Linked DNA regions of Kluyveromyces lactis. The main gene of each other region encodes a partner of the protein of the gene in region 2 in a complex. Links are inferred from orthologs where the notes say so. Each region holds a gene or a part of one and is shown on either strand. Other genes may lie near its edges.

Evidence for each region.
Region 1: SLI15 (region 2) and IPL1 share a complex: the UniProt entries of both Saccharomyces cerevisiae proteins name them as parts of the CPC complex. The link is inferred for Kluyveromyces lactis from reciprocal best matches to the Saccharomyces cerevisiae genes SLI15 and IPL1.

The regions. Positions count from the first base shown.
Region 1 is NC_006038.1:206,334-211,604, forward strand, and holds IPL1 (aurora kinase), read right to left. Parts: upstream 1,616-5,271; coding exon 530-1,615; downstream 1-529. Other genes in the region: MRH4 (ATP-dependent RNA helicase), read left to right, coding at 1-467; RKM1 (protein-lysine N-methyltransferase), read left to right, coding at 2,351-4,135; KLLA0_B02376g (uncharacterized protein), read left to right, coding at 4,544-4,942. UniProt on the Saccharomyces cerevisiae protein: Component of the chromosomal passenger complex (CPC), a complex that acts as a key regulator of chromosome segregation and cytokinesis.
Region 2 is NC_006038.1:867,664-875,772, forward strand, and holds SLI15 (Sli15p), read left to right. Parts: upstream 1-3,014; coding exon 3,015-5,039; downstream 5,040-8,109. Other genes in the region: KLLA0_B09922g (uncharacterized protein), read right to left, coding at 85-2,478; HSP70/90 family co-chaperone CNS1, read right to left, coding at 5,097-6,209; KLLA0_B09988g (glycosyltransferase family 15 protein), read right to left, coding at 6,675-7,958. UniProt on the Saccharomyces cerevisiae protein: Component of the chromosomal passenger complex (CPC), a complex that acts as a key regulator of mitosis. Stimulates IPL1 kinase activity and facilitates its association with the mitotic spindle.

The DNA of each region.
Region 1 (5,271 bases), about 660 kb from region 2:
TTGTCGCAACTAAACTAGCCAACCAATATGGACACGACGTTGTTGCCTTGACCGGTAATGATTCTGTTGAAGAACGTCTGGAAAAAATCAAACCTTTCATGGATCCTCCTAAGAAGATGACAACCCGTAAATCAGAAAAAGTGACTACAGAAAACACAGTAACAATGAAGATACCCAACTCAAATATTGTGATTGAAGAAATACCAGAAGACAATGAAGCATTTGTTGAAAGCACTTTGAAGGTTCTAGTAACGACAGATGTTCTAGCAAGAGGTATAAATTTCAGAGGTTGTCGATACGTTGTTCTATATGATATTCCAAATACTCCGGTGGATTTGGTCCATCGAGTTGGAAGAACAGGAAGAATGAATCAAAAAGGGTCTGTATTTATAATTACTGGAAAACGAGTAAAAAATTGGGTCAAAGCTATACCATCAATTGTTTCAAAGAACGTTTCCATTTCCTAGCAAAGCTAACTAATTTATAGATTCTCTTCCACTTGTATATAGAAATCTAAACATGATAAATACTAAAGATCTGTCCAAGAACCTCGATTATTTGCAATCCATGCATGAGATTTAACTTCCGAGAGGGGGATTCTCTTGGAAGGTTCAAATTGCAGCAATCTTACAATGAGATCTCTTGCCTGCGGTGAAACATTTAGTGGGAACTTGAGATCGCACCTCAAAATTCTTCTATATGTCATTTCCTTTGTATCCTCCTCAAAAGGTGGCGATCCAACTAATAGCTCATAAGTTAGAACTCCTAGGGCCCAAACATCTACTTTATTGTTATATTCTCTAGATTTAATGAGCTCTGGTGAAAGGTAATCTATAGTTCCGCATAAAGTCTTCCTCTTTTGTCCATCCTCGTTATATACACTCCAACCGAAATCTGTCAGTTTGATAGTGTTGTTGAAACCAATTAAGATATTCTCCGGTTTTATATCTCTATGCAATATGTTTTTACTATGCATATAATCCAAGGCATTAGCCATTTGATAAACAAAATAGGATGCCAGCGTCTCATTCAAAGGCCCGTTATTCTTCAAAAATTTATATAGTTCTCCGTAATAGACATATTCCATAAGTAGATAAACCCGTTTTTCGTCGTAAAAGAATCCATATAGCTGTGTCAGATTTTTATGTTTGAACGAACCCTGAATTTCTACCTCCCTCCTGAACTGTTTCTGAATTGTATATTGAACAATTTCCTTCTTTTCCATCGCTTTTAAAGCACAAATTAGCCCCGTTTCCCTATGTTTAACGCAATAAACTTTACCAAACTTACCTTTACCTAAGATCTTACCTATTTCAAAGTCCTGAAGTGTCATGTTTTCAAACTTATCGTTGTGATCATTCAATATTGGTACGCGGGTACCATGCGCGGTGTTGGGTTTCTTTACCATTAGCGATCTTCTAGGATTGTTGTTCACTGGTCCAGTGCTCAACCTATGATGAGACGAGGTAATCGAGTCTTTTTCATGTGCGTGTCCTCGTGATAAGCTAGGTCGTTTTCCTGCATTACTTAGTCTTATCGATAATAGTTTACTCTGCTGTAACAATGAATGCCTTCTTCCTGTATCACTTGCATCCCTCGATAACGATGGTCTCATGTTCAATATATTAATCTTGATGTCTGATAGTACCGTTGCACATCCGCCGTCGGATCTTGACCTGGCTTTATGACACAGTTTTACACTCTTCAAGGTGACGTTCTTTAACCTGAATCAGATTCATTTCATTATTTACATTTTCCCTCTCCAAAGGTAAACAAACGGAATCCATTATAGTGAAGCAGAAGAAGACGTAGAAAGACATAGACCGCGATAGATCTAGTATAAAGCTATAGTTGTCAAGGCTAGGTGATTGCTTTTCACTTTTGTCATTTGTATGATATGCATAATGGGTCTTTTTGATTCTTGATGGACTTATCGTGTCCCCGTTCTAGCATGAGTTTTTACTGTAGGCGCTATGTCATGTAGTAATCATGTTTGACCAGAAATAAACTTTCATCATTTAAATTGAATCCATAGTTATCAGTGAAGAAATTTCAGTGTATTTAGGGTAGCACGAACTTGGTCGAAGTAATCCGTTGGGAAACTATAGATCAAGAGGAATAAAGAGGCCTCAAATCGGCTCTTTACGCCATGGTAGTGATGATTCAGCTCGCAGATCTTAAGGAAAAAAATGAAAGTTACCCTACCACACGCATTAGCGTAATATTTACGATAGATTACTGATGCACATGAGATGAGCCGTAAACTTCAAGGAGGACAACTATCTTGATCCAGGGGAATGCCTATCAAGTGCTCAAGTTTCGAAAGCTACACGACAAAGATATATTAATAATGGATAAATTGGACCAATTGCTGGCATTTGCCAAGGACAATGGAGTTTCACTTCCACAAAATGTTGGATTTAAGAACGTGGAGGGGAAGGGTATCTGTTGCATTGCTAGTGATGACATAGAGCAAGCTGTCTTTCAATTGCCCAGCCATCTGATAATTACCAAGGATCTTTCGAACAAACACTTTAGAGATCAAGTGAAAAGCAAAGAACATCACAATACATGGTTGAAACTGTTTTTGAGCAAGCTAAAGTTTTCAGATGAGATGATCATTTTGGATAATGAAAACATCACAAAGCTATTCAGACCATACATTATGGCTTTACCATCACAGGTAGATTCTCCGTTGGGATGGAATCCATCTGAGCTTGCTCTGCTGAATGGGACAAACCTTTACACATCTCTAAAGGAAAAGCTACAATCGATATACGACGAATGGTGGAATGTCATAGAGGGGACTTCTTTTCAAACGCGACAGTACAACATTGAACAGCTCAGTATTGATGAAATATACGAGCAAATAACGAGTAAAGTATTTTCTGAGAAGATTTTGGACTTCTTCTCTTTTCCAGCGTTCTTATGGTCTCATCTAATGTTTACTTCAAGAGCGTTCCCAGAGAGAGTAATAAACCCATATTGTGATGAATATAATGTGATATTATTACCAGTATTAGACCTTTTAAACCATGAGAATAGATCAAAGATTCAGTGGTCATGTTCCAGTGAAGGAAGTTTTATATTTGAAAAACTCGAACCAGTTTCAAAAGGAACTGAAATATGCAATAATTACGGTGCTAAAGGAAACGAAGAGTTATTATATGGATATGGATTCGTAGTCGATGGGAACGAATTCGATAACCTTGCATTGAAACTCAAGTTGCCTTTACCAGTAGTTGAGAAGATTTTAGCAGATGGTTCTGTATACCTTCCAACATTTGATGACTACACAACTTACGCTTTCGATACAGTAAAGGATACCCGTGGAAACCAGAAAAAGACAAACGATACCAAACCATTGAAAGCCCTGGAAAATTTTGCTGATGGAATCCTTTATTTTATCAATGCTGATCTAGAAAATTTGAAACCGTTAATGGATCTTTTCTCACTTCTGAGTAAAAACGATAATGAAAGTGCACTATCATTAAGATGCCAACTGACAGCACTACAATCGTTGAAGAATGCATTGAAACAAAAATTGTACCTAATAATTGATGCAGAACCATTGGAATCACAAAAGGATTATGCTACATGTGAATATAGGAAACAATGTGCGGCGATTTACAAATCCGGGCAAATCTCGATTCTAAAGGATTCTATCAATAATATAAAGAGGTTACAAAAACACATACTGACTGCCTACAAACCATATCTAGCAAGCATAAAGAGCATTATGAAACATGACCGGGATTTTCAGAAAGACTATCACGAACTATACGACCAAACCAACAATGCCGCACCGGCAGATTTAATAGATGAATTTGAATATGCAGTCGCCTGGTTGATGGTGAGAACTCAAAAGCTCGCACGCAGCAAAGAAGCTTCCGAATACCTCTGGGTACAAGATCAATTTACTAATTACTTCTCACATTACACCGAAGACTCTCAAATTTCTAACGCAGGAAAAAGTCTACATAACTATTTCTTCCCCAATGGTAACGATAGAATCTCAGTGAAAACCATGGACTGTATCGCAACTTTTATCAATAATGAGACGTTCCTCATGGAATCATCCGCTTCGAATTCTGTGCCAGTATTTACAAAGTGCATAGACATCCACTACTCCTAAACACTCGATAAAGATTTTAAGATATTATGACCTCTCCGGCTTGGGTGCCCATTTAATTGCCTGCTGAGTGAGCAATAACAAAATCACGTGACTTCAAATGCAAAAAAAGAAAAGAATAATTCGGAACCATCGACTGAACTGGTCTGACATCTTGATTCTATGTAACAGTATGAGTATTTAAACGACAGTTCCAAAATACGTTCCAGTACTCGATTTCGACAGCAAGGTATTTGTCTATTCGGAATAGATTTAATAGAAGCTCAAATCACGCTAACGAGGTTTCGCAGGTTGCTGTTAAGACTTTACTGTTTTTTTCGGGTGTTTGATTCTACTAGTCTTTTTCGCTTACTACACTTTGATCTCTTATTAAGGACACAAATCCATACATCGCAGAATATTAGGCCGACAATGAGTGTGATATCAGATTCTAGCGTAGCTTTGTTTAACAAAATTCCATCTGGTGCGGTACTCTCCGGTGTTGTACTTTGCTATCTGTTATCTGGTGGTAGAGTCTCCATATCTCTAGCTCTAATTATAAGCTTCTTCATCCTCAAGAAGCATAGTTTGGAAGTATCTGAGAGTGGTGATGAACTAGAGAATGAAACACCCAAGAAAAAGAAGGGATGCTGTGGTGGTAAGAATGGTGGATGTTCCAGTAAGAAACTGGACGAATTTGGCATGCCAGTGAAGAAGAACAAGGGATGCTGTGGGGGTGCGTGTAAATCCAAGAAGGCGCAAGATCCTGCACCTGTGGTAGAAGTTGGTTACGATAACGAAATAGATTTCACTGATTCTTTTAAAAATTGATATCACCATCTTTAGTTGTTGTATCAATCAATAAGGGGAGGTGGAGCCTCACATATTTCGGGGGAAAAAAAAGAGGACGTGACGTCTGGCCACTTCAATAATTCGGTAAAAGCAGTAATCTTAGAACTCATATTCAAAATTCAGGGACACATAGGGTACTTTCAATATTGTCTTATTTATTTGTTAACTAATTAATTGTCATTTCATTTTTAATTACTGTTATTTTAGTTGTGCCGGATCTGTTCAAACCTATGCATTCTTTATCAACATATTGTGCATATACGAGACATCTATAATTCTGTATAGCTGTGGCCTGTGTTCCGTAATAT
Region 2 (8,109 bases):
ATATACAATATGCTATATTTGGAACACATGTTCATCGAGAGCTTTGTCAAAAATGCCCTTATTTAATTGTCTCAAGATTAGTTCCTAAACATAGCTGAAAACTTTGTGGAAAAGTTCTTGGATATTCAATGTGTAATCAGCGTTCTCTTTCCAAAGGACTCTGTCCATTTCCCTTCTTCCGGAATCCAAGTCAATTTGCTCTAAGCGGTTGATGGTGCTTGTTCTGACGACATTGTATCCCGAATACAGGACGATAAAGATGACGATTATCAAATAAGATGATATGAAGTTCGCCGTTTTCCAAACAAAGAAATTCTGTATACCATTCATCAGTAATAAGAAAGTCGTTGATGCCATGCCAAAGATACAGAGATATGGCTGGAAAGGAGACTTGTATGGGTATTCTTTGGAATTCCTATCAATTATATCGGGACGTCTTTTCAAAGCCATGTAGAATCTCAAGAAGGATAAGTTCATCCCGAACCACATTACAACCGAGCCAGTGATACCGATACTGATAAAAAGAAGAAGAGCCTCAGTGCTTCTCAAATCAAAACACAATAGACTTAGAAATCCTAATGAGCCACAGAATAGAATTGACACATAAGGAACCCCACCATTGGTACACCACGTAAATACACTTGGTGCCTTGTTCTGTGTTGCCATAGAATACAGAGTCCGACTCGAAGCATATAGCTGCGAACTGGCAGCTGAAATTCCTATGCAAACGAATACCCCATTTATTACATTCGCAAGATCGCATTGTTTTACTGCTTTAAACGCTATCACCCATGGTGATTGATTTGAAGACTCTTGAAAGATATTATCATTCTGCAATCGAGTGTTGCAGTTCATTCCACCTAATTGGTCAATGATAAGCATAAACTTTTCGAGATTTTGATCAGTTACTTTAGAGTTGTCTGAAATAATCCGTAAAAGTCTTGGGTCCCCGGCATATATCACAGTTCCAACCATGAATATCGAGAGTAAATAAAAAAGCACGACTCGCACGAAGATCCGTTTGGTTACGCTTGGAACTGCTTTTCTGGGATTCTCGGCTTCCGGTGCTGCAATAAATCCAATTTCGCTACCAATATACGAGAAAATTGAACTGACACTACATGTGATACAACTGAGCAATACACCGCCGAAGCCACCAATACCCTGCTTGGAACCAGAGCCGTAATCATTAAGATCAAATGTTGGTCTGAAAGGTCCGAATGTGACATCTGGCGAAGGAGATCGATCCTTCGTCCAAAACTTGAATCCCAAGTATCCGTTGCGGAAGCCACCACAATTGAGAATGAGTACTAGTACGAGCAAGAACAATACTACAGCCAATTTAAACACACTCATGATATACTCCAATTCAGCATATATTCTTACGTCCAATAAATTAATGCCTGTAAGTACAATAATAAGTATCGTAACGGTAAGACCCAAGTATAGATTATCAGTTGCTACTTTCTCGAATGGAGTGTAATATGATATCATTATAGCACTGGCTATCAATTCTGATGGGAAAGCTACAGCATACGATAACCAATGACACCATCCTACAGTGAATCCAAACGAATCGCCAACAAACCGTGAGCAGAGACCAGAGATACCTGTAATCAAGGGTATAAACGCCACCATCTCTGCAAACGAGAAAAGAGTCGCCAAAATTACTAGCGCACCATACAAGAAACCGATAAAGGCGCCCATAGGACCTGCTATGGAGAACGCTCTTCCAGAATTCAAAAATAGCCCGACTCCGATCGTTGCTCCCAATGATATCATTTGAAGATGTCGTATTTTCAATTTACGTTGTAATGATGTATTATGTCTAGATTTTCTTCTGTGGTGATTGTCTATAGGAACTTCATCGATATTGTCACTAACGGTAACCTCCTGGATTTTCATAATGTCGTTATCCTCAAATTTGAAATCGATGAAATCAAGCTCTGGCCCTATATTATCAATAATCGCAGTAGAAGCATGAGAGTTTGTATAATTCATTTCTATTTCATAACGCTTGCTGCTAGATCCTGTGACTCGTCTTTTATTGAACAAATGTGATATGGCATTTCGCCAATGATGATTCTTCGTTTTTACCACATCGTATCCTTTTGTCAAAATTGCATCTAATTGATTGAATTGTGGAAGTATGATTCCCGATTCTGAGTTGCTGTTTACCCAGTCCTGTAGCTTGTTCCTAAGTTTGAATTCCCTGTCGCAATTCTTATTGAATTGTTTGAAATCGGTATATTCCAATGTCTTAGCGGCGGAAGGATTTGCGGCAAAGTACATTTTACTCATGTAAAAACGATCGCTTTTCAAGAGCGACTCGTAATTTGTAGGCAAGTTTTGACAAACCTGCAGAAATATATCTTTGTTTATCCCATAAATGGGATCATCATCGGTTTCAATAGCGTTTGACCCCGGTACCCCATACTGAATTTGAGGAAACAACCCAGGTGCTGCTTTGTTAATCATCAAAGAAAAGAGTTCAGGCAGTCATCAAACAAGCAATTGTTGAAATAATCTCTCAGTATATTTTGAATCGGAAACTGTTGTCCTGATAAACAGTTTCAAATCACTTCTGAGTAAACTTTCCTACATAAATATCATGCTTTCATCATATCTTGAAGTATTCAAATTCTTACCATTGTCAAAATAGGTTTAATCTCTTTCCGTATGATCCACGTGATATTCACGTGGATAGTATCAAACTTTCTTTATCCTAACTGGTTGATCCTCATGTTTGATTAGTTACCGAACCAAAATATCGGTGTAGGTCAATCGGTATCAAGCACAGCAACATGTACTCTGACAAAACTTGCGTTGTTTTGGTTTGTATAATTGAAGTCGTTTTATATAATGAATCAAAACCAAAATAATAACAAAAAAGTTTAGACGCTTTTATCCCCAGTACTTCTATATTTGTGGGTAAAGACTCGACCAATTTCTACCCAGCTCAGAAATTCACAGCTTTACATGGATAGCTCCCGTGGTGGCTTTGAATTTAAACGATGGATTGGGCTTTAAAGGCTGCCAAAAAGAAGCTCAAGAACCAAACGGGTGGTTCGCGATCTATTGTGGAATCACTCAATGAGTTCAATGATGTCATGCTGAAAGGGCATAAGGAAATCGAAGATGTGTTTTATAGGAGTAACGACTGGCTTAATATGGAAATGGCTAAGCTTGGATTCCCCAGAGGTGAGTCTATCACTGCAGCACCCGTAAGCCCTGACAAGAGCGTTGTCAATGATGATCAACCTGAGCATGAGACAGATGAAGCACACAATGAAGATACGCGTAGCAATGAAACTGAGATACGAAGTGGTGATCATGATCAAGAAACTGGAATGAATACTGTTTCAGCTAATGCAACAAATCAGGAACCCGTGTCAGTTGGCTCTCGGAATGAGCTTCGAGGTTCAAGGCAGACACAAATCGAGGATCAAGATAACAATCATACAAATGTTCAGCAGCAGTTAATCCTTCAACCCGCTATAACGCCGAAAAGTCTCCTAGGAGATGATACGGGTCGAGTATTGATTAATTCTTCTTCGATCAAGAGAGCTTCTCGTGAGTCTTCTGTCACCAAGTCATTCCCTTGGCCGGTACAAAGGGATGCAAAGGATTTCACAGCAACAAATGAAATTAAAGCTCCACCTACTAAGGACAATGAGATTACAAACGAGGGAAATCAAATTCCTTCCGCTGCAGATGACAAAGTTCATTTGAGTTCGGTGACTAAAACAATTCGCGATCGTTCCCAGAGACGATCCAACATGTTTGCACCCTTACCAAGCAAAGATCCGTTAATAGTTCAACCAACTCCAAGTCAGCATAAGAGGAAAATCAATGGGCCGACGACTCTCCCGATCCATCAAGAAAAGAAACTGAAAGTCTCCCCATTGCATATCCCTGCCAATAGCTCAGAATCAAGGTTGAAATCTCCTCGTTATCAAGGAAACGTTTTCGAACGGCTTTCCAATAATTTAACTGAATCATTTGAAAGAAAAGCTGCTGATCGAAGAGCCGCTTCTCCTGTCCGAAACAAGAGAAGTACCACATCACCAACGAGATCTCAAAGGTCAGGTGCCTCTATTCACGGATCTCCCACCAGTCGAAAACTCTCGCAAAATAATTCGCATACGGAAAGGATTCACCATACTCTGAAGAATATATTCGATTCTAAGATTCCCCAATTAGCTAAACATAACAAGAAAGAACCACAACCTCTGCGAAGAAGAGTATCTAACCTCATTGATAGATCGAAGCCCACGGAAAGAAAGTCTTTAATACCAAGAATCAAAGAACTTACACCAGTAAAAGGTTTAATCAGGGAAAATATAACACAATCAAATGAAACCAACAACATTCGTGCTAAGAAGCAGCTTCCAGAGGAAGTATCGCAGCCTCCTGTAATACCACAGTTATCCACTCATAAATCAACGTCTATCTCTCCTACATCATCTGATCAAAGAACCAATTCGCACGATAGATTGACCAGATTCCAGCTAATTACTGGCAGTTCAAGCAACAAACAAGAGAAAGACACGCTAAAGCAAAAATTGAATAAGCGGTTGAGTGAAGTGATGCGTAACCAGCAAGAGCAACAAATGCGGAAAAAGTATGAACTCCAACAGAGGAGGATTTCTCAGGCAGATGAGGATACTAAAAGAAGAACAAAGATTCTTTTAGATCGTAACAACGCAACATTACCGCCACTCTCTAAATCTGCCAGTACAAATTCCATGTTACATGATATCAATACAGTTGATTATAGGGAATATATCGGCGCACCACCAAAAACGGAAAGAACTTCCAACGATGTTACTTTACCTGAAATCATTTCTGATGATGAAGGTAATAACCAAGTAGAGCGGACACTGACTTCGTGGGCTGAGCCAGAAAAACTAAAGCAACAATTGTTGTTGCAACAAAATTGGGATATAGAGCAAATATTAGGCCCCATTCCACCGCTACATATCGATGAGATCTTTCAAACTAGCACTTCAAGACTACAAAAACTTAAGAAAAGGTAAATTACCTTAATTCATAGTGACGTGTCTATATAATGCAATATCTAGTGTCTGTAATATCTACAATCGTTTCATTATTGCTGCATTCTTATCCCAGTTATCTAGCCATCCTTGTGCCTCCGTTTTTGGTACAAAGTATACTCTTAGAGACTTATCGAAAAGAGGAGCCTTAGGCTTCTCCATCTTCAAAACATCATGGAAGGTAACTTTTTTACCAATCTTGATCAAGCCTCCAGACAGAGTTTCCATGTATGCATGAAGTTTAGATGCAGTAAAATCTTTGTGCCCTGGTTGTGCAAACCATTCTGCCGGTCTGTTAAGTACAACATCAAGAAGGTCATTTGGTGTGGATAGTTCAGAAACAGACGCGATAAAGTCAAACTCGTCCGTAGTCGGATAAAGAACCATAGCTGGAAATATTAATTGTGATTCGAAATCTGTTGGGTTTTCCAATGTGAGTTTAGTATCTTTCAAAAGACCTGCTGGTTGTTTGGTATCAACTAGCGTTATGTTTCTTATTTGTACTGCCAGATCCAAAAACTCTTGGAGTTCCTTTTCCTTCTGTTTTTGAGCTAAAGTACGATTCTCCAGCTCCTTTTTACGTTTAAGCTTTTCAGTAGCTTTGGACTGGATGGATTTTAATGCCCCATTTTCAGGATCCACGGCAAGCCCAACTTGAACGGCCTCGAGAGAATCTTCGAACCTTCCCAATTCGAGATAAGCCTTACCTATTCTGAAAAATGCCTTAACGTTTTTTGCATTTAGTTTGAGTGCCTCCCTACAGTAATTGATACAACTTCTATAGTTTTTAATTTCAAGCTCGCAAGCAGCCAAATTCAAATACAAAGATTCATTGATAGATAGTACATCACATTTAACATCCAAAGCTTTCAAATACATAGCCCTTGCATCCTTAAACCTCTTACCCTTGTAAAGATCGTTCCCTTGATTCTTGAAATTAGTTGCAATTTCATGGGGCTCACCTTCATAGGCCATGGCTTTTAAGGCTTCCAACTCTACATTGCTTTCATCTGGGTCAAGTTTGTTCATAAAAAATGGCATCTTATTTAACTCCTCCAATACCTCATCAGTGGTTTTATTTTGGAACTCAGATAGTTGTGGTGGTAAAAGTGGGTCATTTGGACCTGGAACATACCTCTTTGGTTTTTCCATTGTGAGCAGGCCTTAGTAGATATCCTCCTTTTAAACCCTTCAGATAATACAGATAATGTTAAATTTCTGACGATGTGAATCAGGCAGGAATTTGACTATACCAAGTGCGTTATCAGAAGCTGTGGAGACAGAGTAACTGGCTTTTTTGAACAGTCACTTTCCGCTCGATGAGATGAGATGAGATTTTTTTCCTAGAACTTGTAAAATTCTGTGTCAAAGCTCTCTTGGCGAGTCGAGAAAAAGATCAACAAACCACGTGATTTAGTGAATGGTGGTGTCCATTACAACACCCGGTAATATTACCAGATTATATACTGGCAAGTAATCAAATAAATAAGAGTGAGTACTAAAGTTTAAAAAACTGTATGCGCCCCAAATTGTATTGTTCTATCAGTATCGTGGGGAATGGGGGGAAGGGGAGAATTAATATGATAAGTGTGGATGGTGGCCAGGTGAGATTCCATATCAATAGCCTCGGCCACTATAATCTTTCCAATTAAAGGGTTTTTCAATGCCTTGGGCCTCGTAATATTGAATACCACAAGCGTAATCCCTGAATGTGAAATCGGTTTTTGGGTCACAGTAACATTTACCCTTGGCTCTAATTCCGCTGTCGAACGGACAATTGTTGTATGGAGGGTGATGATATCCAATATCTTGGAAAAAGTGCAATTTGTTGCGAGGCAAGAAAAGCGATGCAGCAATTGAATGTACGGGAGCATCACCCCAGCGTTCGTAGAAGAATCCACCTGAGCGATCAAGATAATCGAAATAGTCCGTGTATGCTTTTGATCTGTAGAAATTTAGGTTGGCGACTTCGAAATTCGACCAGAAATGACACAAGTTATAACTATCACCACCATCATCGGATATGAACTTCAACAAATTGTCGTTATGGATGTATTCTGAATGTTTTTCTGCGAACCCACGAGTAGTGTTCCATAAAGTTGGGATTGTGATGACAAATTCATGGATAGAAATGACGAATCCGAGACCTAAGTCTTTATCCTGCATCTGTTGGAAGATATCATAATCGATGGAGCATAGCAATTCGGTACTTGGTTCGACACGCCAGTACCAATCGAACTCGGCTAATAATGGATGTTGGAAAAAGAACCCCGATTGAAAGCGACACATGTGACGATAACTCTCGGAAGCACCGTAGATTATATCCTGCATGTCAATTCTAGTTTGAGCTGCACGTTCTTTAGAAACATAATCTGGGTATGACCAGTGTTCCTTCGGTATAACACCGAATTGAGAGTTTGGAACAATGGCAGAGATACGTTCTTTGAACTCTTCGGTAAATGGTTCATCGTTTAGGAAGATCCATGGATAATTAAACTTATTGTTGAAACGATCTTCGACAGATGAAATCGATTTAGCCAAATCCCATAGTTCTTCATTCCGGACCAATGATACGAAACATGCCTTGGGTTTATCCTTGGTCCCATGAACCACGGAGTCATACACAGCCCCAGATCCAGCAGCGTCGAAAGGGTAGCGTTTTTCCCACTTTTGATCTAGGACTCTATTAAGACTAACTGGTGGAAGCTGGGAATCACTTGATTTCATATATTCCAATCTATTATCCTTTGATTCCATGCTATCATCAACCCTCGATCCGGTTTTCACTTTCCCAACATTCTCAATTCTCATAGTGTATATCACAAGAAACAAGAACAGCACTAGCAACAAAGTCTTGATAGCTGATGTTCTCTTCTGTACATTATGCAATATGCCACTCATGATACTCTGAAGTATGCACTGAGTTTGATACAACGCTCGATCCAGATAAGTATGCTTTGTAACACTGAAACACAAGGCCTTTTCTAAGGTCAAGCCTCGTTCTGATCTAGTCTACTTTAACCAACGGAAAAAACTCACCAAAATCACCAAG